Lepisosteus oculatus: one gene and its partners. The protein of the gene in region 4 purifies or fractionates together with the protein of the main gene of each other region. This does not show direct contact. Links are inferred from orthologs where the notes say so. Each region holds a gene or a part of one and is shown on either strand. Other genes may lie near its edges.

Region 1 (7,270 bases), on a different chromosome or scaffold from region 4:
ATGCCAGTCTGTCTGGAGTCCCAACCCAACTCAAACAGGAACAACAGCTCTGGAACTCACTTGTCATCCTTCTCCCCATCATTGCACACATCCACAATCTGCAGGATGTTGTGGTTGGCACTCAGCTGCAGTGCCCCCACATTGATCTGGACATACTCCTTCAGAAAGTCCTCCGCCAGTTGCCGAACCTCCTTCGGCCAGGTAGCGCTCCACATCAGGGTTTGCCTGTCCGGCTGGAAGGGGGGAAATAAAAAGTCAATTTGTCTCCAGCATTAACCCAGCAAGACCTTGAAGCTTCGGGAGTGGGAAGACCTACCCTGATCTGATCTACGATCTTCCTGATCTGCGGCTCAAAGCCCATGTCAAGCATTCTGTCGGCCTCGTCAAGTACCAGGTAAGTGCATCGGCGGAGATTCGTCTTTCCGACTTCCAGGAAGTCGATGAGCCTTCCAGGTGTGGCAATGCAGATCTCGACGCCTACAAGAGGTGGAGAAGAGCTCTTTATCTGCTCCCAGAAGGGTGAAAACCACAGCAACGGACCCGAGCAAGACAAGTATGGACATACCTCTCTCCAAGTCACGGATCTGAGGTCCTTTAGGGGCGCCCCCATAGATGCACGTGGACTTCAGTCTGGAGGCTCTACCGTATTCAGCAGCAACCTGCTGGACTTGCTGAGCCAGCTCTCTGGTTGGAGCCAGTACCAGGCACTGTAAGAAGGGGGTTAGAATATATTAGAATATAGGATGGAATTTATTTAGGTTGGCGAAACATTAACACTTTAAAAAAAAAAAATCGCTGTGTAAACTGAAACACTTACAATGGGACCATCTCCATGTTCAAGGAATGGTTGGTGGTTGATGTGTACAATTGCTGGCAACAAATACTGCAACAAAAGAATTTGAACATTATGGAACATGGCATTTAATAAACATGTTAAGTTAATTGAATTCAGTTAACTTAAGGACTATTACAATCAAAGAAAAAGACTACATTATATTGACTCATGTGGATGGGCAGGAGTCAGATCGACAATGGGCTGCACGGTGTTCCAAATGGGGGCAGTGAGCAAGTGACCAACCTTTACAGGATTACCATAATCTCCAACACGAGAAGCACATTCCTAGGATTCTGCCACCACCTTCCACACCTAGACTTGACATCAGTTAAAACCCTTCCTATAAGGCGTCACGATTGACCTTACCGAGAGCGTTTTCCCAGATCCAGTCTGTGCAATCCCAACCATATCCTTCCCACTCAACGCCACCGGCCAGCCTTGTGCTTGAATGGGGGTAGGTTCGGTAAAATTCTGTTTGGTGATCACGTCCATTACATAGGCTGGAAAAGGAAGACCGATTTAGACTTGAACGAGGACTTCAAAGCACCTTCAAGTGCACTTAAACCTTTGAAGCACAAAAACAGGAAGCGTGCTCCGTTTGCATCCTGGCTCAGACTTACATGGGAAGCTTGCTTCATGGAACTTCATTATGGGGTTTGGACAATCCCTGCACTTCACGGTGACTTCCTTGCTCCTCCTGTACTGCTCCACTTCTTGCTGCAGTAAGAAAATAAGCCCATTGAGGAAAAAAAAAACTGACCACCCTCCAGAGCTACAGCGTCACACAGCCGCCCAGTCCAGCGGCCCTCGTCCGGCACGTTCTCATTTACGCAAGTCTTCCAGCTGGACAGTTACAGGAGCGAAACACCCCGGGGGGGATAACGGAGACTGAACCTGCAGGTGAGTCTTCACACCTACTTTCTCCCTTCAAGGAATCCCTAACTGCTTCATCACCAAGTCCTAAATCATTTTTAACCGGGGGGGGGGTATCAAGAGATAAAACAGCAACGGTCTCAGGACCCGCATCGCAACCCCTGGAGGCTGCCGCACCCGTGCGGGCGACTCACCGCGGTCCTGCGGGTCACGTCGGCGTGCTCCTTGTAGAAGTTCTTCTCGAACTTGGGCAGCTCGTCCAGGTTCCAGTGCTTCTTCCGCAGCCGCTCGCCGGGGTTCCCGAACTTCTTTCCCGGGGGGGCCCCGCCTCGGCTGCCCCCGAACCGCGGCGCGCCGCCAAAACTGAAACGACGGCAAAACGGGAAGCTCAACAGACGGAAAGACGTTTTTATGTAAAAAAAAAAACACAACGAAAACGGCAGAAGCTCTCTCCGAGATGGCGGCGAGAAATGCGTCTCGCTTGGGTAAAACAACGGGGCCACGTAAGCGCCATCATTACAGTGCCATGGGGGTGGGGGATTCGTCTTTAAAAGATTAAAGATGAGATTCCGGCAACCTGCACTGAAAAGATTCGGCTCCGCGACGTCCCTGTGCGAATCGCACCCACGCCTGCCCCCCTTTTTAAGATTTGTTTCTGCGTCACATTTTAAGCCGCTGCCATTTTGCTTCTGACCAGCAGAGGAACAAAGACGCCGGCCGGCCGGCATTTTGTCTCCACATCTTTGAACCCGTCGTCACATGGCGAGCACACCGGGGAGGGGGGAAAAAAATGGAGGAATGTTTTTTTTCCTCCCACACCCGCATTTCGGACCCAAGCCCCGAAATCCACGTCACTCGTTCACAGTCAAACTACAACACTAACAGTTTTAAACTAACGAGACGTTTCAGACACACACGCACACAGATTAGTCGATCGTCGTTCCCCGGGAAAAACGACCTATTATTTCTAAAAAAAAAAAACCCCGACTACTAGCCACACTAACTCACAAGCAGAATAATCGGCGCAAAATACACAAACCCAAAACATACATCACGTTTTATTTCAAATCAAACTCGTGTCAGCCATTTTACATTCGTACCCCCCGACTTACCCTCTATCTCTCCCACGGTCTCTGTCAGAAAAACCAGGCATGATGCGGGAAAAAGAAAGCTTGGGATTTAAAAAATAGATATATATATTCTTGCGTTACAGCAGCGTTTAACTGGCTAATTTCTTAAATTTTCGACTTCCTAGGCGGGATCCTTCCTCTCAGTTGCCGGCAGTGGTAACGCTGAAAATGCCGGTTCCTCGCGCACAGAAGCCGGTTTATATAGCAACAGGAAACGGAGCCTCGCGAGACCGCAGCACACATGGCGTATCCCTCCGCCTGCAGCCGGTACTATGACCTCACGCTGCTCTGTTGCGCGCAATGGCGGCCGAGCTGGATGGGGTTGGAGAGCAAGCGTTTCTGTTGCATTACACAAACAAAAGTACTGTGGAAGTGGCAACTACAATGACCAATTTTCTGTTTTGCTCCATAAAATGCTATATAACGTAGGTGGCTTAGGATCTTTTTTTTTTGGGGGGGGGGGTTGTTTGGTTATTTTAAACGCGTTCTTTGTTATTAGAAGTTAATCGTCGTCGTCACTTTAGTAGTTGGTCTGAGTCCAAAAACAAAACAAAAAAATACGACAGGAGTGCGTCGGTGCGTCGTGTTAACCGCCTTTAGAGGGTCTTTCACTATTGTTGCTCGGTGTGTGGGGACGTGGGGCACATTCGCAATCGTGGTCACAAACGAGACGAGGTCATTCAGGCCAGAAAGCCCGTTTGGTGGGTGGCAGTGAATTGATCCGGGCGCCCCATCCGCCCGTTCCTGAAAGAAGCCGGGGTGTCGGCTTTGACAACGTGGTTGAGTAGATTGTTCCACGCCCTCACGCCTATTTGTGTAAAGCAGCGCCAAATGTTGGCGTTTCTAACCACCCACACACCCCACCCCGCCCAGGAAATTTACACTTTTTTAAAAGGTTTTTATTATTTTTCAAATGCAAAAAGGGGAAGGAAATACAACAACCAGGGGTATATACATAAACAGGAAGAGGTGTTAGTGGGGCCAGCAGGGGGCGCTCACCCTGCAGTCCATGTGGGTCCTAATGCCCCAGTATAGTGACGGGGACACTGTACTGTAAACAGGCGCCGTCCTTCAGATGAGACGTAAAACCGAGGTCCTGACTCTCTGTGATCATTAAAAATCCCAGGGTGTTTCTCTTAAGGAGTAGGGGTGTTACCCCAGCGTCCTGGCCAAATTTCCCCCTGATCTTTACCAGTCATGGCCTCCTAATAACCCCCCTCTCTGAACTGGCTTCATCACTCTGCTCTCCTCCCCACTGAGAGCTGGTGTGTGGGGAGCAGACTGGAGCATCATCCAGGTGGGGGTGGAGGGGATCCCCATTACCTGTAAAGAAAAGCGCTATATACGTGTAAGCAATTATTATTATTACATACAAATGTCACAACATGATAGAACAACGGTAACATCAGGTGAGTGAAACAAAAAACAAATTCTCCACAGTACCGAGGTTCAGTGGTGTTAGGGGTTACATTAAATTTATATGCCAGAAGATTTTTGTAGACCAACTCGTCAAGGTTATTTTTAAAATATTTTTTGTGAATTTGAGTATAGCTTAGGTGAGTTAAAGCACATTGTAGTTTTTTTTTAATTCTACACGTAATATTTTGCTAACATCAGAATGACGTTTACCATTATACGAACTTCCTTGGATTTGGATTTGGAACACCAAGAACAATATCCTTAAAAGTTACAAGTAACATGTTTATTCCCTGCTGAACAGAGAAGAAAGAAAACTCAACGTTTCGGCCGTGGATACTTTTTCACACCTGAAGAAGGCTCCACGGCCGAAACGTTGTGTTTTCTTTCTTCTCTGTTCAGCAGGGAATAAACCTGTTACTTGTTCCTTTGCAGCCTGCGCAGGCTGACGCAGCTACCCACCTGAACTCCTCAAAAGTCCACGAATACTGCTATTATTTTGGCCAAGAACATACCAAGTGCCAGGAGGTTGTCGAACCGTGACGGGAGAAGAAAATGTTCTTTCAATATCTGTTTCAGAAAAGGTACAGGTGTTGCAATAATTTCCACTTGTGTCCTCCCCCTAGTCGTATCTCAAACAAGGCATTTTGTTAAACAGCACCTGTCCCGGGCACGGGCAATACAACCCACCACCGTTTCCTTTATTGAAATACAAAAACAGTCTCCGGTTCTCAATAGTCTATCGCCTAGTCCAAGTACACGACCACACCGAGAGTCTGAATCGCAATTTGCGCGATGTATTTACAGGGTAAGACCCAGCCTCCGTCACCAGCGTGTCCAGTGAGTCTCTGTAAATAACAGCCCTGTCTAATCCGTCTCCAAGGAAGTGTGCAGTTGGGTCATTTCCTGGACTTTTTATTTTACGTGTTTTGCCACGTAAAATTCATTTTGGTAGCAGCACTTGGAATCAACCATCCCGTTTTTACAAAAAGTACACCAACGGGACGGAATCTGTAACCGCACCTATATAAAAAAAACAGTTTGTTTTAGTGAAAGGGTCTATTTCTAAGCTCGGAGGCATCGCCAGCAGGACAGCACAGCACAGCACAGCACAGCAACCGGCTGTGCCTTCCTTTGCCGGGAAATGACGTCAACCCAAACGTCATGGGGGCGTCACCTTTAACGGGCGAAAACAAGAAATGCGCAGTGTGAAATAAACTGAAAAAAAAATCGGCATTTTTACAAACAAGATCGCGAGAAGAGGACACTTAAATGGAAAAAAAATGAAAAAATGCTCTTGACGCCTTCTTGGTTTTCCGTTGGCTTTACGTCATATCCGGGATCGGGGCGCTGTTCTCGGCAGCCAATGGGAAGACTCCCGTGTTTTAAATGTCCGAGGCTGGTTCAGACCGTGAAGCTGAGCTACAGAGCTGTGCGTTATCTTCAGATCCACCACCTCATCTGCACTTCTCGTTTTTGTTGGTTTTGGACACATAACGATTTGCTTTGGGAACATACCATTCATGGGAACGCAAGAGGAAAAAGGTCAGTGGAAAGGAACCCCTCCTCTGTCAGATTAACCCACAGGGCGCTCTTGAGACCCTGTCCTGCGTTTCTTTTTAAATAAAACCCCAGACGAAATCGTTTATCTTCACCGGTCTTGCCCAGCTGTTCCGTGTTCCGTCTGTGCTTCAAAGATGTGGTTGTAAAGGCTGTCAGATCGCGGACAGGTTATATCACGACGAGGGACGGGCTAGCACAAAGATTTTTATCTGTCTTCTGTCCTGGTCTGCTGCTGCTGCGGCTGTATTCAATACAGCTGCTGCATCTGCTTAATAATTTAAAGCGCCGTTTGGATAAGATAAATATCCCTCTATACCCAGGGTTGAATGGGACAAGGGCCTTTCGAGAAAATGTCACCTTTTGTTCGGCTACTTTTCTGGGTGCCCGCTTTGGGTTGAATGAAATTACAAATCAGCACGGAGTGTTTTGATAGATCAGGTAGATCGCAAAAACAAGAAGCCCAACAGAACAGGGGGTATGTTGTGGTTGTGGTTCTGTTTTTGCTGTGTAGTTTTATTGATTTTATTTATTTTTTTAATCACTTCGCTGCTAGAAGCCGTTCCCTTTCTTTTATAGATGTTTGCTCTTCATAGTGCAGGCGTACTGTATCGTCGGCTGCCAGTGGCACTGTTTCGCTTCGGGAGAAGAGTACAGTGCGCTGTAAATTAATTAACGGTTAGTAGCTGACAGTACTCGGGGCTGTACAACAGTAAGAGTCCCTGTACACAAAGCGTTGACCCTTCGGCACGTATAAGGAGTTTTTGAAGTGGGAATCGTGTTTTAACTGCGGGATAATAGCGGCGGTTTTTACTGTTGGCGCCGGTCCCTGCTGTTGCAGCGGCAACAGTTACTAACTTGGCCGATGAGCAACAAAGATTTAGTGACGCTTATAGACCGGCTTGTGTTCACCCCTTTCTCGCCAAAACGCTTTTTCTACATTTGATTTGTGCCACAGCCCCCTTTCCGGGGTCCTGCACAGTTTTGTTTGGGATGGTAAATTTATTTTTCCAGACCCTGGAGCGCAGCTTGTGTGTCTGTAGCGATGGCAAACCGAGCTACCAGTAGCTAGGACGCCACTGTCAGTTTCTTGACCATTAATCAATCCGCCAGTCGAGATGGTTTTGGTGCCGCGCTGTTTGCCATCTACTAGTATTACTACTACTAGTAACCCGGCAGCTTGTTTCTTCCCACAAGCTGTCTGATCACTGAACTCTACCCCTACCACTGGCTCACACAGATGTTTTTTTTTAATTGTATGTTGTTTAACTTGTTGCTGCTGCTGCTGTTCTGTGTTTATGGTTTTTTTTTGTTTCCTTAATGTCCTTGTATTGGAGCATACACGCAAATAAGCATTCCCTTGTGCATATGGCAATAAACTGAACTGAACTACTTTTACCGGTTGCCTTAAATGAAAACAATAATATTGCGTCATATATTTATCACGCCAACCCCT
Region 2 (7,452 bases), on a different chromosome or scaffold from region 4:
AGCTTCTCTCCCTGTCTGTGAGCCCGTGTCTCACGGAGAACAAGCTGGGGTCTGCAAAAAAAACGAATTGCCGACCCATGATCCACTACATTCTTAACCCTGGCTGTTCTTCCTTTTAGCTCCATTCCTCTTATTGTAAAACTTGGATAAATCATTTTTTAAGTCACTGTATAAAACACGTTAATCAGCTGCAGGCTGGCACAGTTACAGTAGAAACACAGAGTCACTCACCCCTGGGGCGCAGTCTGGGAGTAATCTGGAAAAACAAAGAGAAACGGGGGGTCAGTCACTTGGCGACACTTGCACTGTGCCAGGTGCGAAACGCGTTTTACAGGCAGATGAAGGACAAAATTCACAGCATGAAGCAGTCACCCAGACGTGCGAGTATGATGAGGAAAAAAAGAGACCTGGACCTCTTTTCACGAACGTAATTCGTTCCCAGAAACCTTTTTGCAAAGTGACAACTCATACAAAGAAAAACCCATTCCAACATCTCTTACAAAGAAAAACAAGCTGTTCCAGACCCCCAAGAAAGTCCCCCTTCAACCATTTTCACCAAAAATGACAAGAAACACCAAGGACAAACTTTTTTTGTGGTTTACTTTTTATCTGATGAAATCCACTGCTTATCTCGTTAGACCTCAGAATGACCACTTCACTTGCTTTGTGAGTAGCGACACACAGTGGCCCTTTCCTCGCCCCTCCAGGGCCCGGGGGAAGCAGGAGCACACAGGAGCGAGCAGGCGAAGCCGCAGTGTCCTCACTCCCACCCACGCCAGACCCGGCAGTGGAGCCCGACGGTGCCAGCACCCGATACCAAACCAGTCGCCTGCCTCCTCCCTCCCCCGACCTGCCTGAGGTTTCGAAATGTTTCTTTGCATCACGTCTTCGTAGCTTTGAAAGTGGCCTTTGCCACTCAAAACGCGCGTGACAATTCGCATGATTCGTAGCAGCAAACCGTACGTTTGTGAAGGGGGGGGACAGTCATGAAAAATAAAATACAATCCATCGAGCACACGAAGCAGGTCAATGGCTGCAGGAATATAAGAGAACTTAGTTGTACTGCGCTTGAACCCAGGTGGTCTGAATGGAGTTCAGTGACTATACCCCCGGTTGCTCGGCAGTGTAGGGGTGCTGCATGATCAATTTTGAAAAGGCATGATGGGAGAGGGGAACAAGCTGCCCAGCCCTGTTGTTGAGACCGATACTCTGACTCCCCTCTTGACACAACTGGGTGATCAACTCCAGCCTGGATAGGAGGCTCTTCTGTACAGAGAGGGTGGTGGGAGAGGGGAACAAGCTGCCCAGCCCTGTTGTTGAGACCAATACGCTGACTCCCCTCTTGACACAGCTGGGTGATGCACAATTCACTCAGATGAGCACACACGACCAAACAGACTAGATGTGCTGATTAAACTATTCTCACTTGCAGCTGCTTTTCAGCATACGTATTAAAGCAGAACTGCAACTTTTTTTATTTTGGGGTTAGAAAGAATTCGCAATGAGTACATTTCAAACCACGTTAAAAGTAAAAGGCACAACGTGTAAAACCTGCAATTATATCACAAAATAGACCATTTCCAAGTCTGTGATTTAGAACGAGTGAGGGGGGGGCACCCAACGACGTGAAGCAGCCTAATTACATTGTAAACACGCGTGCTGGTAAACGCCCATTTTAAGCCAACAGAAACATCGTTGACTGGATATTACTGCAATATCGCTCTCGACTTTGAGATGGTTTTGGCGACAAATACTACTTGTTAACGCTGCACAAGGATCACTTTGGAACATCCCAGTAGTGAATCGTCTGCTGCGCAAGCCTGTGCTGATTTGCTCTTCCATCACCCTCGTCATCGAGGTGGCTAGTGAGCAGGAAGGGCCGCCGCCTCTCCAGCGCAATTCACACGAACTCTCGATTTAATTGATTTAATTAAATTTAATTCATTTAAATTCGTGATTTAATTCGGAACTCCTCCATTTTTCTTCCTTACACAACGCCAATGAATTCGTGTCGTCACCGGGGGGGTAACGAGCGGCCTGAGAAGCCGGGGCAGCAGCGCGGCGATCAGCTCCCGCCCCTCTCCCGATCTCCACACCGGCCGGAAGCGGAAGTCGGCGGCTCCATCTTGAGCGGGATGACCCGGATGGAGGCGCCGCTCCGCGCGGCATGGCCGGTTCCGCCCCGCCCCCACTCCCCTACACACACACACACCTGCTCCCCCACAGCAAATCCGGGGGGCTCCCTCAACCCCGGGGCCCCCCAAAATCACACCTCGGCGGCCCGGACACTTCGTTCCCGGGGGCGCGAGGCGCACCAGAGGGCGCGACACCCCGCGCCAGCTCGCGCACAAAAGGGGGAGGCAAGATGGCGGCGGCCGCGGAGAGGCGACAGCCCCGCTTTTGTCTCGCCTCTCCCCCTTCTCTCGGGAGGGAAAACAGCCGCCGCCGCCAGCCCAGCCAGCCGGCCGGAAACGGACCCGATTTCAGCAACAACAAAAAAAGCGCACAACCAGAACGACACAGAGCCGGGAGGCCGGGGCGAGCGGAGCCCCTGACGCGAGGAGAAACCCACACGTTCAAACCCCGAACTGTGTGATTTTTACGCGTTTCTCTCCCCGGAGCCACGACCCCGGCAGCGTCTTCAAATTCAGACGTCGAGACTTTTCACTTACACACAGCAGAGAACCGGAGAAGCCGCTTGTTTCACTCCGGCGCGGACAGCGGAGGTTTGAAATGAATTAGACCCACAGGCTAACCGCCTCTTTCCCGCAGGCGGGTTAACGGCCACGAGTTCGCACAGCAGGCGGCGAAGGCCACTTTTTAAAAAACAAATAAAACGATGGTATTTTCTAAAGAAAAAAAAGTAAGAAATTTGTGTTTTTATTTTCTTACCGTTGGACGCCATGGTGGTCGGGTTGTCTTTGTGCTCCGCGACTCTTTCGCCCGCGCTTTTCTTCCCTCAAACGCACAAACTGCTTCCGAAGAAAATAAATACGGGAAATAAAGAAAGCCGATGGGGTGGGGGGTGCGGGGGAGGGAAGAAGAGAAAGAAATAAAAAGAAACTTCGAAGGCGCCGAAGACGACACAGCTCCGCAGCTCGACACTGAGGACAAACTGCGTCACCGGGCCGCCGCGCGGAGACTTTTAAAACCTGCGGCTGGACGAGACCACTTGCCTTGAATGCCTGGGGGGAGGAGGCGGTGCAGTTGGGAAACTACCCGAATCGAACAGTCCCCCCCCCTCCCGTCACCAGAAAAAAAGATGTCCCTGCTGTTCGTATTCCCGTCTGAGAACAACAATTCACTTTTTTTTAAAGTTTGTCTCTTTTTATACATTTACTGAAACGAAGCAGAGGGTGCCAGAAACCCCCTCACGTTTTTGTACAATAGCGCCGGTCTCCCTTAATCCGCCTCTCATTAAGAGATTAACATGGGGTTTTGCGATGCTTCGTATCGGCTCTGGGTTGGAGGTGTGTTGTAACAGGGCACCGCGGCTGTAAACTCTTCGTCTCTCTGCACTGCAACAGAACAGGATTACACTGCATCCTCATTCTATTAAATATCTCACCCCAGTTATCCTCATCTGACCCGGTTTCTGATACATACATCACCTAAGAAAAGAAAGCGGTGAAAATGTAATGTGTGAATATTGTCATATGCGATGTGTAAATATTTAAGGGCTGGAACCGCGTCTTTGTCTGAATGAGGGTCGTTTTTCATCTCCAACTGGTACAGCATTGACACCCAATCCCAAATCCTTTCAGGAGCTGATGGGAAACCTAACAATATTCCCCAAATAGGGAACTGAATTCAATTAGTGGTCCTCTAGGATCGGGACTGGAAACCATTGAATGAAAGTCAGGCGGCACAGGGGCGCAGTGCTGGGGGTGCCGGGTTCAATCCCTGGGGCGCTGTCAGGGTGGAGTCTGCATGTTCTCACTGCCTCCGTGTGGGTCACCTCTCTGTGCTCTTTCCTGGTGGTGGTTCACCTACTCACACGCGCGAGTAACAGACACACACACTCACAGCTGGGCCAACCGGGGTTGAAATTGTGTGTCCGCCCTGGAGCTGCGTCTGGCCCTCACAGTCGTGGGTAAACAAGGAGAGCAGCAGGGGACCAAGCACCCCTGAGGGACACCTATATCAGCGGTCAGCGGGGAAGATAGCTTTCCATCGTCCCTCACAGTCTGTGGTCTGCCAGTCAGGAATCCAGACTCCAGCTGCAGAGAGACACCCGGATCAGACAACAGAGCTGATACTCAGATCATTAAGCTTGGTGACCAGTCTGGATGGAACGATAGTGTTAAAGGCGGAGCTGTAATCAATGAGTAGCAGTCTGACGTGTGCCTTTGTTTTCCAAATGAGCCAGGGCAGTGTGAGGAGCCAGGGAAATAGCATCATCAGTGGACCTGTTACACAGGCGTGCAAACTGCAGGGGGTCTAAGCACTCCGGTATCATGATGTCAATGTGGCTCATCACCAGCCTTTCAAAGCATTTCATTTTGGTAGATGTGAGCGCTACCGGTCTGTAATCATTCAAAGTTGCAATATATTTATTCAACACACGTACAATGGTGGTTTTTTTTTCTTAAAACACACTGGAACAGGGGACTTTAAAAGTAAAAGATTAAAAATATCCATAAAAACTGTGGCCAACTCGTCTGCACATAACTTAAGGAATGCTGGAGTGAAGACCAGGAGACACAGTGTTCCTCCTGGATCAGGACTGAGATCCTCTGAGATAAAGTCATTAAGAGCCCAGGCTGGAGCGAAGACCAGGAGACACAGTGTTCCTCCTGGATCAGGACTGAGATCGTCTGAGATAAAGTCATTAAGAGCCCAGGCTGGAGTGAAGACCAGGAGACAGTGTTTCTCCCGGATCAGGACTGAGAACTACAGAGTTAGAGAACTGAGACGCTCTGCGCCCGAGCTCTTCCAATTTCCTTGATCACCCCCTCTTTTGTCAGGAGAAGTTGTAAAACCCCACCAGTGTTTTCGCCCCGCAGTCCATCGCTCAGAACGCGGTCCGTGTGCCTCTGAGCAGACAGCACGCAGACCAGAGAATAGTGGAGACCCCCCACTTTCACAGAACCCCCAACGGGAGACGGGAGTGTGTGTGTGTGATTTAGATTTCCCTCCTCTGTCTCACTGCGCAGAGTAAAATCCTTCTTTCAGAACGAAAATCAGCAGAGAGGCACATCAAAGGTACTTGAAGAAGATTTATTTGGGGTTTTGCCAGAATAAAAAAAAAAGTAACACTGATGGTATCCTGTAACACTCCCCAGTCACAGTTATCGATCAGCCACCTGTTGAACAGGTCTCCGATCTGTGGGAGCTCGTGGCTGAATGTAACAGGTTTTGAGAATAAGCAGTGGCATATAAAACAGAGCACACGAAAGGAAACTATAGGAAGCAGCATTTAGAATTGAGAGCAGGAGGCACTTCTTTACACAGAGAGGGGTGGGGGTGTGGAACAGGCTGCCCAGCTGGGTTGTTGCAGCTGATACCCCGGGTTCTCTCAAGGTACAGCTGGAAGAGATGCTCCAGTCAGGACAGGAGGCACTTCTGTACATAGAGGGTGGTGGGAGAGTGGAAAAAGCTGCCCAGCTGGGTTGTTGCAGCTGATACCCAGACACAACTCGGAAAGATTCTGGGATTAATTAGCTCTTAACTAACAAACAGGCTGGATGACTCCTGCGTTTGTGACTCGTCCTGTGTTCCCATGTTCTTTCGTGAGTGTCAGTCTGTGTGTGTGTGTCAGTCAGTGTGTGTGTCTCAGTGTTTGAGTGTGTCAGTCAGTGTGTGTGAGTGTGTATGTGTGTAAATCAGTGTGTGTGTGAGTGTGTCAGTATGGGTGTCAGTCAGTGTGTGTGTCTCAGTGTGTGAATGTGTCAGTGTGAGTGTGTCAGTATGGGTGTCTCAGTCAGTGTGTGAGTGTGTAAATGTGTCAGTATGGTGTGTGTGTCAGTGTGAGTGTTCATGTACAGCTCCTCTCTCTCAGCTCCGTTTGGCCTTGTCAGCTCTCAGTGCTCTCTGTCTGCGCAGGTTGACGTACATCAGGGTGAAGTTGAGCAGGTAGGTGCTGACACACACCATGCAGAAATCCCACAGCACGAACACCAGGATACAGGCCAGGTAGAGGGAGCCAGCCACAGACAGCCAGGAGGTCAGCACCAGCAACAGCGCCGCCCTGCTGGACAGCGACTGACCTGCAGACACAGAGGAAGACTACTATTGCAGCACACTGATACACTCAATTACAGAGAGAGAGAGAGAGAGAGAGAGAGAGAGAGAGAGAGTTGTAAATGTCTGTAACATGTCTGTAGGTTTTATTTTACTTCTATTTTTTGTTTTGTTCCATGTTAATTTTATTAGTTTTATTTGCTTTGGCAACACTGATTGTACCCATCAGTCATGCTAATAAAGCACCTGGAATTGAATTGAATTGAGAGAGAGAGAGAGATGGAGGACGTGGGGTTCACACACCGTCACAGAGCAGAGAGAGAGAGAGCTCACACGAGCAGACTGAGACACACACAGACAGGGACGGGGGGAGTCTCGTACCCAGGACCAGCTGCAGCACGTAGAAGATGACCCCGAAGACACTGTTGGGCTGATTCGCCAGGCTGTCGACCCCCACCACCAGCTCAACCAGGCCGAAGCCGCGCCCCCACCTGGAAGACATCGGGAAGTGCACCTCACTGCCCCCCGCCCGTCGTCAGACCGGCACGGGCACGGACTGGCCACCTCTCCCGCGGCACGCGTCTGGGGAGCGGTCTGTCCGAGAGTCCAGATCTATATCTGGAACTAGAGTTAGGCGCAGTTTTTCAGGTGGGCACGGTTACATAGTGGTTAATATTTCTGCCTCACAGCCAGGGCCGGCTCGGGGTGGGGGGGGGTATGTGGCCGCCCAGGGCCCTGTGCTTTGAGGGGGACCCCCCCGCCCAATCCCCAGTCCCGCTTGACACACGCATAAAAATCGAAATGCATACATGATTCTGTTGTAACAGAAAGAATAAGGTTCTGGATCCCGAGATGAAGTAAAACAGATGAGTTTATTGCATGCAAGGAACAATAAAGCCGAAGTCTTGTTTCCCGCAAGAAACAACAAAACCGAAGTATTGTTCGATGTGCCGGTACAAACTTTTAGGTTATATAGTCCTTGCTTGCTGCTTCAGATGTTATTCGATGTTATGGTAAGGGGGGTCATGGTATTTGGCCAGTTAAGAGACCCTGGCCAAATGGTCAGTTTAAGATTATGCCCCCAGGGGGTTCCTTGCTCGCATCTGGAATCCTTATCAGTTAACCCCCTTTCCTGCCATAAACCCCTGTTGCTTACAAGTCTAATTTTCAGGCAGAAGTTAACCCTTTTCACATCTTGTCTCTTACTTCAATTCAAAATGTTAATAAAGCGACACAGGAAACTCTGATTTGAACTCCAGAGGCTCCAGT
Region 3 (7,327 bases), on a different chromosome or scaffold from region 4:
AAACTAAACATAGATAACCTAAAAAACATCCGGAAATACTGCAACACTCAATAATTTGTCATGTACATATATCATTTTTTGTGAACTATATCTCTTCCATCTGAAGATCTAAATCTTCAAATAAAATGGACTCATTTGCTTTTACACTAAAAACAATAATTGAAAAGCAATGTTTTAATATGCATACCCTGTTAGCATTGTAGTACAAGACAACAAGATATCTGTTGCAAACATTAAATCCAGATAAGTGATCACAGGCATTCTTGGCATCAAAGATGTCTTCATAGACAACATATGCTGTTCCTCTTGTCTCTGGTGTGTTCCCACTAGGAAAAAAATATGTCCGATTAATGAAATGTAAATAACGTTAATGCAAAAATAATATGAAAACATACAAAATATAAAAGCACCTGACTTCAATAAAAGCCCTTGAAGAAATTGAAAGGTTAAGTTTGTAATTTGTTATTATTTTCATTTTGAAGTCTCTAGCACCAGCACAAGAATGACAATATCACAACAGTTCTATTTGGCACTTAGAATTAAACAGGTAAAATGTAAAAAAAAGTTTAACAGAAAAAACAATCACAAAATATTGTCACTGCTATATTTTGTGTACTGCTTTATTTTTAAGAATTTGACAAATCACAATTTCAGCCATTTTCAATAATCTTGTGCATGACCTTCACCTTGATTCTTCTGGTAGGTTGCAATCTCTGTGAATATTCTATTTTTTGGATTCCTTATGCAATTGTGAGAATACATACAGGCGTGTAGGTTTCTTCAGTTATTCAATTTATTGTATTATTAATTTAATCAAAAAATAAAAATACATATTTATACATTTTAAACTGTCTACATTCTTATAGGTTTTCAATTTGTATGCTTATATCTGAAATCTAACATGCTACAAACATTGAGCTTTCTCATGAGGGAAGTAATCTATGTATGCATACTAAATCTAAGGGTCAGATAACCCCAAGATCCAAATTTCACTACAATTGGAAATGAAAGAAATATGCAGTAAAAGAGACTCTATACAAAAGTAACATTAGACCTTAACTTGATGGTGTGTGTTAACAGTGGGAGTGTTGCAAAACACACCAAGCAAAAGCCATTTATAACAATGATTTTGTTTGTAACAAAGGAAACAATGCTAACCTGAAACTAAGTTCATCCAAAGCAAATGTAAATTGTGTTGGAGAAAGTGATCTATAGCAGTATTAGCCCAATTCTGACATTGAACATGAACAGAAGTTCTACAGAATTTGGGAAAAATCATACCCAAGAAAAAATAATAAATTAATGGGAATAATTTTAATTGAGGTAGGAAGTGATATGACTGGTAAACACAAGCTGTAACACGTTTTGCTCTTTTGGAGTCCCCAGTCTTTACTCTTGTCCAATCTTTTCATTCCCAAAAATCATTTGTAATAAATTGAGTTTACAAGCAATATACATTGGTAGCTGCAGCTCCACACATTACAAGGCAATATAACAGAACTTTAGGTAGTGATTAAGTAAACAAATAATAAAATAGGGGCAACCAAATCTGCTGCAAAGCTAGAAACCCTGACATCAATGCTCATATGGCACTCGATCCATCTTCCTAACATGAAGAAAATACAGGTAGTAGTCTAGAGGAGGGTTCCCAATCCTGGTCCTGGAGGTCCTGCTGGTTTTCATTCCAGCCAAGGTTAATAACCTCAAATTGAAAATGGAAGCTTTAATTGAACTAGCACGTTGCTTGATTGTAACGTGTGGAAACTTTTTATTTTGTACTTAAGACATTTGGGATTTTATATTACTTTTAAAACTCAAAGAGCAAAGAGGTGATCTCCGATACGATTAAGAGAGTAAACAATCAAACAGCTCAAACTCATACTATTATTAAGTCAATCAAAGGTTCAAATGTGTAACCTGTGCTTGGCTTGAGCAAAAAACGACTGATAAAGCAGTATAGCCCTCCAGGACCAGGAGTGGAAACCCATTGTCTAGATCACTTGTAAAAGTGCGAAAAGAGTAACAGGTGGTCTTGTTTTTAGCCTCTGCTCCCAAACCCAGACGCTAAAGTGTGATTCTTGTTGACATATCACTCTGCACTACCTCTACGTTATACAAATAAAATATCCATTAAACTTTTTTTGAATATTTTATTTTGTCCAAAGCCATAATTATAATGTGCATTAAGACTGGCAGTTACATGAATTGTGGTAGTTCTTAAAATGTATCCATTTACGCCCTCTAAGTGAAAGGCATATTAAAAAAAAAAACACCTTATAACACTTACACTCGGATTTGCCGTATTGGTCCATACTTTCCAAATATATCATACATTTCTTCCGCTGTGATTTTGTAAGGAAGATTACGAATATAGAGGATTCTGTTTACTTCTGGCGGCAATCGAATCTGACAAAAGGAAACATCAAAATAATTTTTAAATAATTCAAACTTGACACTTCATATAATCACTTTAAACTAGTTAAGAAATCCTGAAGAAGATATCCATTTATAAATTGACTAAAGAGCGTCAAAATACCATTTTATCAAAAGCACCTTTTGCTAATTAGTACATTATTGTTGTATATTAGAGAAAGAGGGAAATCAAACATTTATATTACAAGTTTGATACACGTTGAATGCATGTTTGGAAAAAAATAGTCTTTTTGTACTTCCATCGAAGTACAAACCCCATTCTTTATAAATTATGTGATTGTGCTCTTATTTAAATAAACATTTACCGAACAAATAAGTTACTGAAACAAACAAGATTTTAGCAAAACGGGCCCAGTTAGCTCAGTAACACAAATAACATAATAACTCAAATACACGATTGAAAAAGATTTAAAAAATATTTAAAACAACTTACATTAGCTCTTTTAGCTGCCTGCATAGCCATGATTGCGATTTATTTCCACAATCCTACTAACAAAAATAAAGACGCCACGAACAGTGGTTACAATCCTGATTCCTCGTTGTCTCACAGGAAGAGTGATCAAGAAAATGGACGCATAGTGATGACGTCTCTCCTATCGTAAATCTAAAGGGTAATGTTTATAGGGTACGTTCACTATGCAGACTCTTGTCGTCTTCTCCCTTTGGTGTATTCTTCGACGTTCAATAAAATCCGGTCTGCGTGAACTCCAGCGGAAAAAAACAAACGTATTATTATTATTATTATTATTATTATTATTATTATTATTATTATTATTATTATTTACAACAGTATACAAATTTAAAAAATCGAATGAATCAATAGAACAAGAAATCAGATTGGAAATTTCAACATTACATTGTATGACACATAAAATAAGCATACTGTATATGAAGGAATTGCGAAAAACAGTTTTCATATTTTTATATTTTACACTATCCAAAAATTGCATACTAATTGAATTTATAAACTATTTGAAGCACATAGAAGTTTTAAGTACTCTGTGTAAATTGTGCTACTATTAATATAACATTTAACATTATACTGTATTAACAGTAGATGTATTAACATTATACTGTATTTACTCATAAGAGCAAGAACAATGCCCTTATAAGTTAAATTTATAAGGATAGTTCTGCTTTTTAATCAAGAACAAACATAACAATACCAAAAGCCTGTTGTATAATGACTTGGAAAAAATCAGTTCAATAGCTTTAATACCAGACTCAGAAAAATACAGATGTTACAGTCCAAGTTTAACCTCCTTGGAAATTCCTTAGAATTATATATTTTGTTAATAACTTTAACATAAATGTGTTTAGTTTTTAAAGGGGTGGGAAGAATTAAGGAATAATTATGTATTCAGTTCTTGCTCTAACACGATTCTCGTTATCCATAATCAAAATGTACTTTTCTCCTGGTAAACGGGGAGATACTCTCAGCCATATCTCAGCCAATGTCCTCTTTTTTAGGAAAGGATCATGATAACATGATACTTCAGTTCAGCATTAGCCTCTTCATAAACTATTATTTTAAAGCAATATACTGTATATACGACATATATACAGTGCTTACAATTATATAAGTTTTGTTTGTATAAAAATTGCCAATTAAAAAAACCTGTAGATGAAAAGCAGAGTCGATTTAGAATTCAAAGTCTCACTCAAACGAAACATCTCGCCCAAGCTGAAAAGTCTATACAGCCACACAGCTCCACAAGTCGCTAAGCATTAGAGCAGCCAAAACAACCATAGAGCGTCATGACAAAGAAATTTGTAATTTGAAATTTGTAAACTGTTTTAATCCTCCTTGCATCTTCTAGCGCCATCTACCCAGGAGGTGTGGAACGTCTGTGAGTTGAGATGCTCGTGTGTGAATTCCTTGAAATTGCAAAAATAATTTCCATGTATTAAAGTAGTAGATAATGTTATTTACAGAGACATAATCACCGGTGTTATTATAATTGTACGTACGTGTATTAATGTAGATAGATAATCTATGAAAATATATTGTATTATATCCTGCTTTGTAGGTTTGTATGATTGTATGATTGTGTAAATTCCTCCACTCCATTTTTGCATTGCAGCCCTAGGAGGTATACTCTCCAGCACAGGGGAGCTGTTCTCGGACTTGGGAAGTCTGTGCTTTAAATGTTTTGGGAAAACTATGTTGATCTATCTGCAGTTTTATCTGAGCTGCAGTATTTCTTCATTTTCTTTTTCAATAAGGAATCAGTATTGCAATTCTGGTTGTAGCTATTGTTTTCAAAGTCACAACGTTCACAATTCCACATTAATCGCTAGTGTAACGAATACGCCCCTGAGCTCGGTCGGCAAGTTCGAGTGTTGGAGTGACGCCGGAGACTCGAGTTCCTGCCCAGGCAGTGACGAACTGACAGGGCAGGAGCGGCAAAGGAGGAAACCCAAAGAAATGTTACAGTAGCCTGTATCAGACAGAAGGAAGATGGGATAACACCATTTTCTAAGTTCTGACAAAGGGACACAAGAGGGTGAACTATTAGTTTTAAGATAAAAAAAGCTCATACCTCTATGGAGGAGGACAAAAGGAAAGGACAGCAGTTTTCCAAAATGTTCACTAGAGCAGTGCTAAACTTTTGATGGCAATGTGAGCTATATGTGACTCCAAAAGGCGGGGCAGCAACTTTGGTAACTGGGGAGACTCTGAGAGTTGGTGAGGGAGAAAGCTACCAATTCAGCAATAAAAATTAAAACCAATTTCTGCTTACAACAGACAACATCAATACTTTATTGTACATGTAACAGTTCTTGGGGTTTCCTTCCTTGCCGCTCCTGCCCTGCCAGTCCGTCCCTCAGTGGGCATGAACCCGGGTCTCCAGTGTCACGCAACAGGGAACTTGGCAGCTGAGCTAAAGGAGAACTCCCCCAGCCAGGGCGGCTGAGATCCCTGTTATACGCAGGGGTATATTTGTTACATACAGCTTACATATCAACGAACAGCAAAAGCACTGCCAGCAGACACCAGCAGAAACAAAGCAACTTAAATGTGTCTTGGATCATTTGCTGCAGATGCTATCTGACTGGACAGAACCACAGATCTATGTCTAAAGAACCTATGTCACTCAGTCATCCGCAGTGAGCTTTTCATCCTGGCCCTGGATATCCTTGGAGGATCCTGTCTGGCTGTCACCAAGGAGGACAGCAGAGAATGAAGACTCATTTGCCTGTGCACAAACCATAAACCTAAATAACAGAAGTTACATGACCATTTTTCTGGGGTTGTGGCAATAAAGGACACCTGCAGCAACAGTACAAGCACCGGAAAAAAAAAGCCTCAGAGAATCAGAGAAATTATAATAATGAAAACATATTTTAGACTGTTGACTCTATCACAGTGGAAACCATAAAACAGGGCCCTGATCAGCAGTGGGAACAATCTGTGCATCCCATAAGTCATTGAGGAACTGTGGGTTCTCATTGACACTGGTCATTTCCTCTATTGACACCTGCTCAGAGCACTAAGGACACAATACCGAGTGTTGCAGCAAAAGCATAATGTGCCAGGGTCAGCTGAAAGTGTAAGTTTGAATGGTGGCCTCTTAAAAACCATGAGTTCTGGGAGCCTGCTTACTTTGCTTAGGAGAAGGCACTGTCCCTTCATTAGTTAGTGGGAGAAGGAAGGTCAACATGGAATGATGGGCTGGTTGGAAAGATGATTTAATCCATTGAGTGTTAAGTCTAGTGCAAATCAGGGAGCAAACACACAGAAAAGAAGCAATATATCCCGTTTTTAAAGAAATCAATGCCTTTTATGTCAAATGTTAATTGGAGGATGAACTATGTTACCTCAGGTGATGTCATTTGTTCTGTCATTTTGTATGTCAATGTTATGTCATTTGGCATGTAAGGAAAGCATGGAAGTTAGTATTTCACTCTGCTTAGGTACATATGACAAAAAACTTGAAGTTGAACTTGAGACGCCATGTGGCAAAGACCAATGAACAGGCACATCCTTATTCAGGCTTCAGGAGAGGAATGGGACAGAATCAGAAAAGACAGTATCTGCAACCTGGAGCAAACCTTGCCTTGTAGATGTACAGTATAGCTTATACCTGTATTTATTCCCACTGTGGCCTTACATATTACTGGCTTGTGTCTTTCATAGTAGAGTAGACACTCTATTGATAAACCACTTTAACAAAAAATGTTCATCAGCATAATTGATTTACTTACATCATGTCTGTTCAAGGGTGTCACAGTGGCTAGCATTGCTGCCTTATAACACTGAAATCCTTGGTTTAATTCCAGACCTAGGTTGCCATTGGCATAGAGTTTGTATGTTCTCCCCATGTTCATGTGTTTTTCCTCTGGGTTCTCCAGTTTCATCACATAGTCGAAGGGCATACTGGTCGGTTATTTGGCTTCTGGGAAAACTGGGCCTGGTGTGAGTGTGTGTGTCTCTGTTTGTGTCTGTATGTGCCCTGTGATGGACTGGTGTTCCCTCCAGTGTGTACCCTGGCCTTGTGCTTTTGCCTGTAGGTACACACTCCTGCTTCCACTTGACCCTGAATTGGAAAAAGTAGTTAGAAAATAGATTGATGGATAAATGATAATATTATTTTGGTGCCAAAACAGTATCAAAATAATCTAGAGATTAGTCCAAGAATGTAAAAAAGTACAATAAATTGGACAACGTTTTAATTCTCAATGCTTCATGTATTCACAAAAACGTTGTAGTTTTGATTAAATGTTATTTAATTTACATGTTTCCCACAAATCGTGTATTTCTAATAATGGCAAAAGATACAAAACTTGATCATGGGTAACTGAGCTTCAGCAATAATGTTGTAAGTTTAAGATGACAAGGGCTACCATATCTGAACATTGAAAACAGAGGACAGTCGATTGAAGGGAGGTT
Region 4 (7,311 bases):
ACACTCTTTACCAGCATTTATATAGAGTTTTTGATCTATCAGACTGGTAGTTACATTTATTAAATTTACCTTTATTTTGGAAACACTACATAAATAGACCCCTGGCATTACTGAGTAAACTAGCATGCAACACGGTCAGATTTACAGAATATTCAAGATTGACAAACAAAATGCTGCTGTCAATCAATGGCCTATTACTTCAATATTCAATAATATCCTCAGTTTGAAACTGTGCATATGATAGGCATAGTCACAGAATTCAAAATCTTAATATTCCTTGCAAACAGGTGGGCATGATGTGAGACCTTCTAAAAGTAGGTGGAAACATTACTAAGTTTTTTTTTTAATCGTTATAATTTGTGGCATCTTCGATTTTTCCAGGGAGTAGTGTTGGGGATACCTTCAAAAATCACAGATTTTATTTATAAAAGATCCTTGTACATGATGGAACCAAAATCTAGCTACGTGCTTTGAGTGAATAAGAGCAGAACATTTTCCCACAGTAGAAAATGACCATGGCTTTCTGATACAGCCATAAAGGTGGCCATTGCCTTTCAGGCTTTAACAGCTGGACGCGTGTAATTCTTTAAGATCGGCTACTTCATTTCAAATACAATAAGCATTAAAAGAAACCTTTAGTAACAACATATTTGCAAAGGTACCAAAAATATTTGTAGTGCAACTACACTGACATATTATTGGACACACAGGTAAATTCATTATGCCGATACATCATCATCATCACCAGAGTCGATCAACACAGGGTCTACAGTAAAAGTCACAAGCGAGTAGGTTGTGGGGGCACCACTGGAAGTAGCACAAGCTGTACACCTGCAACACATTCTGTGGGATTCTGTCCTATTCCTCTCTCAGGGTTTGAACAAGCATGTGCCTCTTCCCTGCCATGTTGTCTTAACTCATCCCACATATGTTCATCCATCCCTTTTCTAACCGCTTAATCCAGCCTAGGGTTGCGGGAGAGCCAGTGCCTATGGCAGGATCTACCCCAGCTGGGGTGACAGTCCATTGCAGGGCACACACAGAGACACTCATACGCTCATAAACCACAGTGCAGCTTCCCAGGAACCAATTAACCTATCAGTACGCTTTTGGATTGTGAGAGGAAGCCCACACAAAGCCAGGGAGAACATACAAACTCCACACAGAAAGCACCCCAAGTCTGAAATTGAAGCCAGGGCCCCAGGACTGTGAGTGAAAGCAATGCTAACCACCGGGCCATTATGCCACCCCATATACGTTCAATGGGCATCAAATCTGTAGAAAAGGCAACTATGTCATATCTCCCATGTTCCCACTTCACAAAAAAGCTGTTATATGATTTAGTCCAGGTTTAATTAATGATTTAGTTCAGGCCGGCTATTATATGATTTAGTTCAGGCTCTCACACCTGAAGAAGGCTCCACGGCCGAAAAGTTGTGTTTTCTTTTATTCTCTTTTCAGCATGGAATAAACCTTCACTTGTTATATGATTTATGTGTGAGCTGTCCTTCTGGAATTTTGTCATATCAGGATGTGAATGCAGGAAGGACAGCAAGTGAGGTCGCAGGTCTTACAATGCCATGTGGCAAATTAGTGATAAAATTGCTTGAGGCACTCCATAGCAACACCCCTGCCCAGACCACAAAACTTGGACTTTGCTCTAGATCTGCACATCTGTGCCACTTGCAAACATTCATTACTTTAGTCTAATCTGGACTGAATATGAAATATTCAAAATGACTGGCAAATTCCTAGCTTTTTAACAATTCACAAAGGATTCCATAGGCTGAATCACCCCCTATCATTAATAAAGAAATGTAGCTCTTGTACAACGAAATCATCAAGATCGGTTCATTTAATGCCCCCAAAACAATCAATATCCAAAATTCATGTGCTTTGCAAAAACAGAATGATCCATTTTGTTTTCACGCTCAGTACATATTCAAGTGAATCAGCCTGTTGTTTGGGACGTTCAGCAGACCAGTGCCCCCAGCCCACTACAACAATCCACACTTTTGGCGGTCCATTTCTAATATATTCATAAGCGTCAACGTAATCAGTGACAAAACAAAAAGAAAATATAAAATAAGCTACACCACGCCAACGTCGCCCGTTTAAGCTGCCACTAGTTTATAGCAAGGCTGTTGCATTAACACTACCGAGATGTACCGAGGATAAGGCCATAAAGGCATAAACCATCATCATCAGATGTCACAAGAAAACCATGTTCACCGCATGCCGGCCCACCGCAAACTAAACATTGTTGTTGGAAGTTTTAAAAACATGCCTCAGACTTACTTATCATAGACTAATCGCCAAAACGTATATTTGCACGGAAACCTACACAGGCTGGAGGCTCTCAATCACATACCGTCTGCAACAACAACTGCAGCTACCAACACGTGTTGAGAGAGCATTTGAGCAAAGGACAAACACGACTGAGGCGGCGCATATCGTAACCCCTCAGTGTTACAATGGACACGATTGACTTAAAAAGCTTTCTGCAAGTTTAAAAACTCGATGCAAGACGAGCATTTTGTTTGCAAACCGCATACAGGCCGCAAGAGAATCCCACGTGTAACAAAATACATGTCTAACAAAATAAGACGTGTTGTAATCCCGTCTTGGTAAATTAAAGCCACTTTAACTTTTAAATAATACGTTCCAAGCGTATTATTCCAAGAGTATTAAACTCGGATTTTAGGAAAACAGCGGTGAGCGAGACTGCTATTGCACAGTACTCGCTGACCCGAGGAAGGCGCCGAGATGCATAACCCATCTTCCCGGACCCAAACAATAAAAAACACCATTAACTTACAAGTCAGAGGACGATCTTTTTTTGTTAGAAGAATAGTCGTCGCCTAAATCCAACCGATGCCTTTTGGACATACTGTTTGACCGGGAAAAGGTTTATTTAAAAAAAATAATACACCTGAAATGCACACTTATTCCCAAACAAACCCTCCTCTTCAGTCACAGCACCAGGCGACAAGATGGCGACCGGAACCACTCATCTCGTCTTTATTATTTCACATAAAATAATGAAAATAACCCCTTCATTAAAATATATAGATGTGTTTGATTTTCTTTTATTTTCCACAAATATGTAATTATGAAATGTATTAAATAAAAATATTTGAGTCCAGGATGGTACAGCTCATCAGGTGCGGAGTGTTGAAAGCCGGCCGGCACCGCCGGAAGAAGGAAGACAGTACAGTAACCTTCCCGCCCCTCTGTTCCCTCCGTGACGTGTGGATGTGTTCTTGACTAGGGAAAATCTGGTGTCAATTCTGGGCTTCGTTGCACTCAAAATTGTATTAATTAAAAACGATACCAGTTTCGACAACTTAGTTCTATCGCGTAGATAGGCCTAGCGCGTATAGTGTTGCAAACTGTTATAGTTTACAACGCCGGCGTAACTGTTTTCATCATGCTAAGTGTCTTCACCAGTACTCAAAATTAAACTATTATTATGTTGCTGATGTTAGATTTCATAATTATGTTTAGACTGTTGAGATCATATCTGTGTTACCAAAAAGTAATGCATTTCATGATGACATCCAGGACAGCCTAACTTTATACAATGTACCTTTTTACACACATATATACGATATTATATATATATATGGCAATATACTGTAAGTAAAATACTAATTTCCTGTATAACTTTATATAAGAATATAATCCAAAGTGGTCACGCATTTTTTCAGACATTATTAACTAGGCAAAACATGAATTCTCAACTATTCAATATGCAATTTTCAGGCTAGCTGGATAAGTAATGACTGTGGAAATGAATGAGTGCTGGTTTCATATTTTTTACTTACACTATGTGAACATCCATGGATACACTGTAATGGAGGGGTCCATGGGGGTAGGAGATGGGATTATAGCCTCGGCTCCAGTGGACATAAGATTAGTTATAAACAAATGGTAGCCGTATTAGCAGTTAATTGATCTATCAGGCCTTTATTAAAAGGGGCCTAGGTATTAGCTTCAATGTCTGGTAGCTTGTTCCTCAACTCCCACAACCCTTTGTGTAAAGACGTGTCTTCTATTTTTGATTTAAAATGTACTTCCATATAGTTCTGGCTTTTCAGCAGTATTATTAGAGAAAGTATTATTAGAGTATTGTACCACTTAAAAATAAAATTATTTGCTTTAAATTTGGTCTATTCCCTGTTCTTCATTTAAATTAGGAAGCATTTTTACTGTACATCCATTTGGTTTTACATTAGAGAATGAAATGGAATAAGATTGAATTCAAACATGTTGGTGCCCACAACAGGTAACAAAATGATCCTTCTCTAGCTAATGACCACATTGGTAGGAATTGCAAAATATCTAGCATATATTTTCCTGGTTACTCTGTGGATTGATTGGCTATCTCTCACAAAAAACAAAATGTGAGAGGAGGGCAGATGCAGTTTTCATTGAAAACAATGTATCATGGTCATGGTCTCCTGCAAAACTGAAGAAATTACATGCATTTGCAAATGTTTTGCAATTCGCGAAGTGCATTTCCAACCAACAGAAGTTCATTCAAGGCTGGAGCAAACTTGAGAAATCCTGAGTTTTGAAACAATATAGCTATGGACCCTATTAACTCTGTTTAAGATGTGATGAGCTTGAGCACTACAAAATCTACCATAACACTGCACATGCTCCACAGTAGAGTGTGATAAACCTAGTGTACACCAGTGAAGCATAAACCTACTGGTTTTCCTTGGCTGTCAACATGTAATTTGATAGTTATTTATTTAATTATTTAATTTAGTCTATTATTTTTCTTCTATAGAAACTTTAGAAACTGATGCCCCAGGCTGTTGATCTTTCCAGGAAAAAGATGGTGGTGTATAAATCTTAAAAAACTCCCAGAAATGATTTCTGAGAACAGCTCCTATGCTTTTGTAGACGATTCTCAATAATAACAAGATTAAACTTATTAATATTTTTGAGTCATTAATTTTGCAAATGAGTTTAATCTACTTGCATTAAATTACAGTAATGAATAACTGCAACTTAACTACAATAAAATATGTGTTGGGGTATTTAGAAGAGAGAGTCATATAGACTACCGTATGTACTGTACTACCATAAAAAAGAAACTGCAGAAAATAGCAATTGTATTGTGAGATATACGATATACAAGAGAATAAGTTAATGTAAGAAGCTTTCCCCCAAAAAATGCATACGTCCTAATCTAAGTCCAATATCTTGGTCCCTATAACACATGACATGGATGGTGCTAATGCAGATCACAAAGTCAGTAAGTATGTTGTTGGGCCACCATTAGCATTGGTGACTGCAAGTACCTTATAGCAGTGATTTGTAATGTTATTGATGCTGACTGCTTCTGGAGTGTTCCAAATGTTGATCAGCTCCTCAGCAAATCCATAAATATCTGTTTAGAGTTCACTAGGCAGTAAGACACTGAATCACTTTGTTCGACAAATGTTCAATCTGAGACAAATGTGGTAGATTTTCTGGCCATGGAAGGAGCAGAATCTGTTACTCTGCCAAAAACAGTCATGCAACGTCTGCAATGTGGGAGCGAGCTTTACTTTTTTGCAGATCATGACCTGGGCCACATGCATGATGGGAAAAATGATTGGGGTGAGGAGAGTGTCATAGCCCTGCCTCTCTGAAAAATCTTCAACACAACTGGAGGTAATGTATTGTTTATTAAATGTGTACTTCCTTACCATTGCGGTAAAATCTGTGTATTGTTTTTCACCAACAGTATAAGATAAGATAAGATAAGATCACTTTATTGGCCAAATACAATTTCTTGTATAAGGAATTTGTCTTTTCACATACCCCAACTTGCTCTCCATGGACATACAGACAGACAGAGAGAGAACCTTGGGGTCAGAGCACAGGAACAGCCATTTATACAGCACCCCTGGAGCAGTTGGGGTTAAGGGCCTTGCTCAGGGGCCCAACAGAATAGGATTCCTCTGCTGGCCATGGGATACAAACCGACAACCTTCCAGCCACAGGCACAGATCCTTAGCCAAAAGTAATTGCAATTTTATCATTATTAAAAGTTATTAAATAGCATCTAAAATTATTTCTGCTCATACTTGTGAGGTGCAAACAAAAAATAAATTATTTTCAACAGGAAACTTTGGTTGCAACATTGGATAACCATGTAAACAATCAGTCTGTTAATGGGACATTTATATTCCATAACAAAGACCGTTAAAAACACTGCCCCCATAGACATAGCCACTTTAATAAGATCCCATGCAGCTTAAAAGCTATTGGATTATGTAGTGATGAATCGGTAGACACCTAAGACAATCATTGCAATTGACACAGGTAATTACACAACCTGGGCATTGCTAACAATCTTTGTAATGGCAAATGGCTCATTGCTTGTAACTAGGGATTGATGGTGATGGGAAAGAAGAAGTTAACATTACAAGTAAGCCTTACTAATGTTCCAAATTCAAAACTAATTTAAAATACCAGCCATTTTTTTCCACTTCTTTCACAGGCAATTAAATAACAGTCCAATTGTGTGTGAAATAGGACTGCCTGGCAGCCTCGCTGTCAAACAGAGGAAAAGGAACCTTTTGCAGGAGGAAGGGAAAGAGCAGGGGGTTGTTTTATAGCTAAAATGACTGGCACTTGAATTGAAAATACCTAGATGAACATCAACATAAAATGACTTCTGACAAAGAAAAGAAGAGTGAAATGATATTTTTCCCTGTTAGAAATAAGGAATTAGGCTGCATTCAAACTTATAAAGGCTCTAACTTTAAAATAGCTTTTAGCACAAAAAGTGAAAAGAACAGTATATTATATTACACGGGATAGCTGATATGTTAGTCATACTTTATTTCTCAGTCCTTTTGTAATTTTTTAAGCAAGACATAGCTATTTGTAGAATATTTTACTTCTTCTGGTGTGGCATGCAATACACCCCAGACCCAAGCAATTTTTTATGTTTTATTTTTAAAAAAGTAACTGATATTGCCGTCATTATCAACAAATAATGTTGTTGTATCATGTACCGAATTGTCGTTCTTAATTATGTTTTTAAAGGACCTCGGGTACAGTCAAATATTTTCTCTGATCTTGGGACTCCCATTCTGCTGTAATGGTCAGGTTCACTTTCAGGTTTCTGGGAAACACCTGTCCCCCAGTGGTCAACCTATTCAAAGTACCTGAGAAATTACCGCTTTCTATGAGCTTTCTGTTCTTGTTGGCTCTGCCCAATCCCAAGTGCCTTTGCAAAACAATGCCCATATTGTCATATCTGTCTCCATTTCCTGATTCATTGTATGACCTCCAAAATTGCCA

What was found.
Region 1: the proteins of dhx15 (region 4) and ddx5 fractionate together in Homo sapiens (co-fractionation; 3 studies listed by BioGRID). This does not show direct contact. The link is inferred for Lepisosteus oculatus from reciprocal best matches to the Homo sapiens genes DHX15 and DDX5.
Region 2: the proteins of dhx15 (region 4) and fus purify together in Homo sapiens (affinity purification with mass spectrometry; 4 studies listed by BioGRID and IntAct, with this or other methods). This does not show direct contact. The link is inferred for Lepisosteus oculatus from reciprocal best matches to the Homo sapiens genes DHX15 and FUS.
Region 3: the proteins of dhx15 (region 4) and sf3b6 fractionate together in Homo sapiens (co-fractionation; 3 studies listed by BioGRID and IntAct, with this or other methods). This does not show direct contact. The link is inferred for Lepisosteus oculatus from reciprocal best matches to the Homo sapiens genes DHX15 and SF3B6.

The regions. Positions count from the first base shown.
Region 1 is NC_090704.1:45,522,327-45,529,596, forward strand, and holds the start of ddx5 (probable ATP-dependent RNA helicase DDX5), read right to left. Parts: upstream 3,022-7,270; 5' UTR 2,862-3,021; coding exon 2,821-2,861; intron 2,072-2,820; coding exon 1,903-2,071; intron 1,553-1,902; coding exon 1,456-1,552; intron 1,336-1,455; coding exon 1,202-1,335; intron 884-1,201; coding exon 818-883; intron 708-817; coding exon 566-707; intron 478-565; coding exon 317-477; intron 234-316; coding exon 61-233; intron 1-60. Other genes in the region: centrosomal protein of 95 kDa, read left to right, coding at 5,778-5,799. UniProt on the Homo sapiens protein: Involved in the alternative regulation of pre-mRNA splicing; its RNA helicase activity is necessary for increasing tau exon 10 inclusion and occurs in a RBM4-dependent manner. Binds to the tau pre-mRNA in the stem-loop region downstream of exon 10.
Region 2 is NC_090699.1:5,217,369-5,224,820, forward strand, and holds the start of fus (RNA-binding protein FUS), read right to left. Parts: upstream 3,007-7,452; 5' UTR 2,906-3,006; coding exon 2,893-2,905; intron 257-2,892; coding exon 232-256; intron 1-231. Other genes in the region: vkorc1 (vitamin K epoxide reductase complex subunit 1), read right to left, coding at 5,998-6,209, 6,565-6,674. UniProt on the Homo sapiens protein: DNA/RNA-binding protein that plays a role in various cellular processes such as transcription regulation, RNA splicing, RNA transport, DNA repair and damage response. Binds to ssRNA containing the consensus sequence 5'-AGGUAA-3'.
Region 3 is NC_090697.1:38,316,333-38,323,659, reverse strand, and holds the start of sf3b6 (splicing factor 3B subunit 6), read right to left. Parts: upstream 3,010-7,327; 5' UTR 2,897-3,009; coding exon 2,867-2,896; intron 2,407-2,866; coding exon 2,288-2,406; intron 327-2,287; coding exon 188-326; intron 1-187.
Region 4 is NC_090696.1:62,446,990-62,454,300, reverse strand, and holds the start of dhx15 (ATP-dependent RNA helicase DHX15), read right to left. Parts: upstream 3,004-7,311; 5' UTR 2,890-3,003; coding exon 2,819-2,889; intron 1-2,818.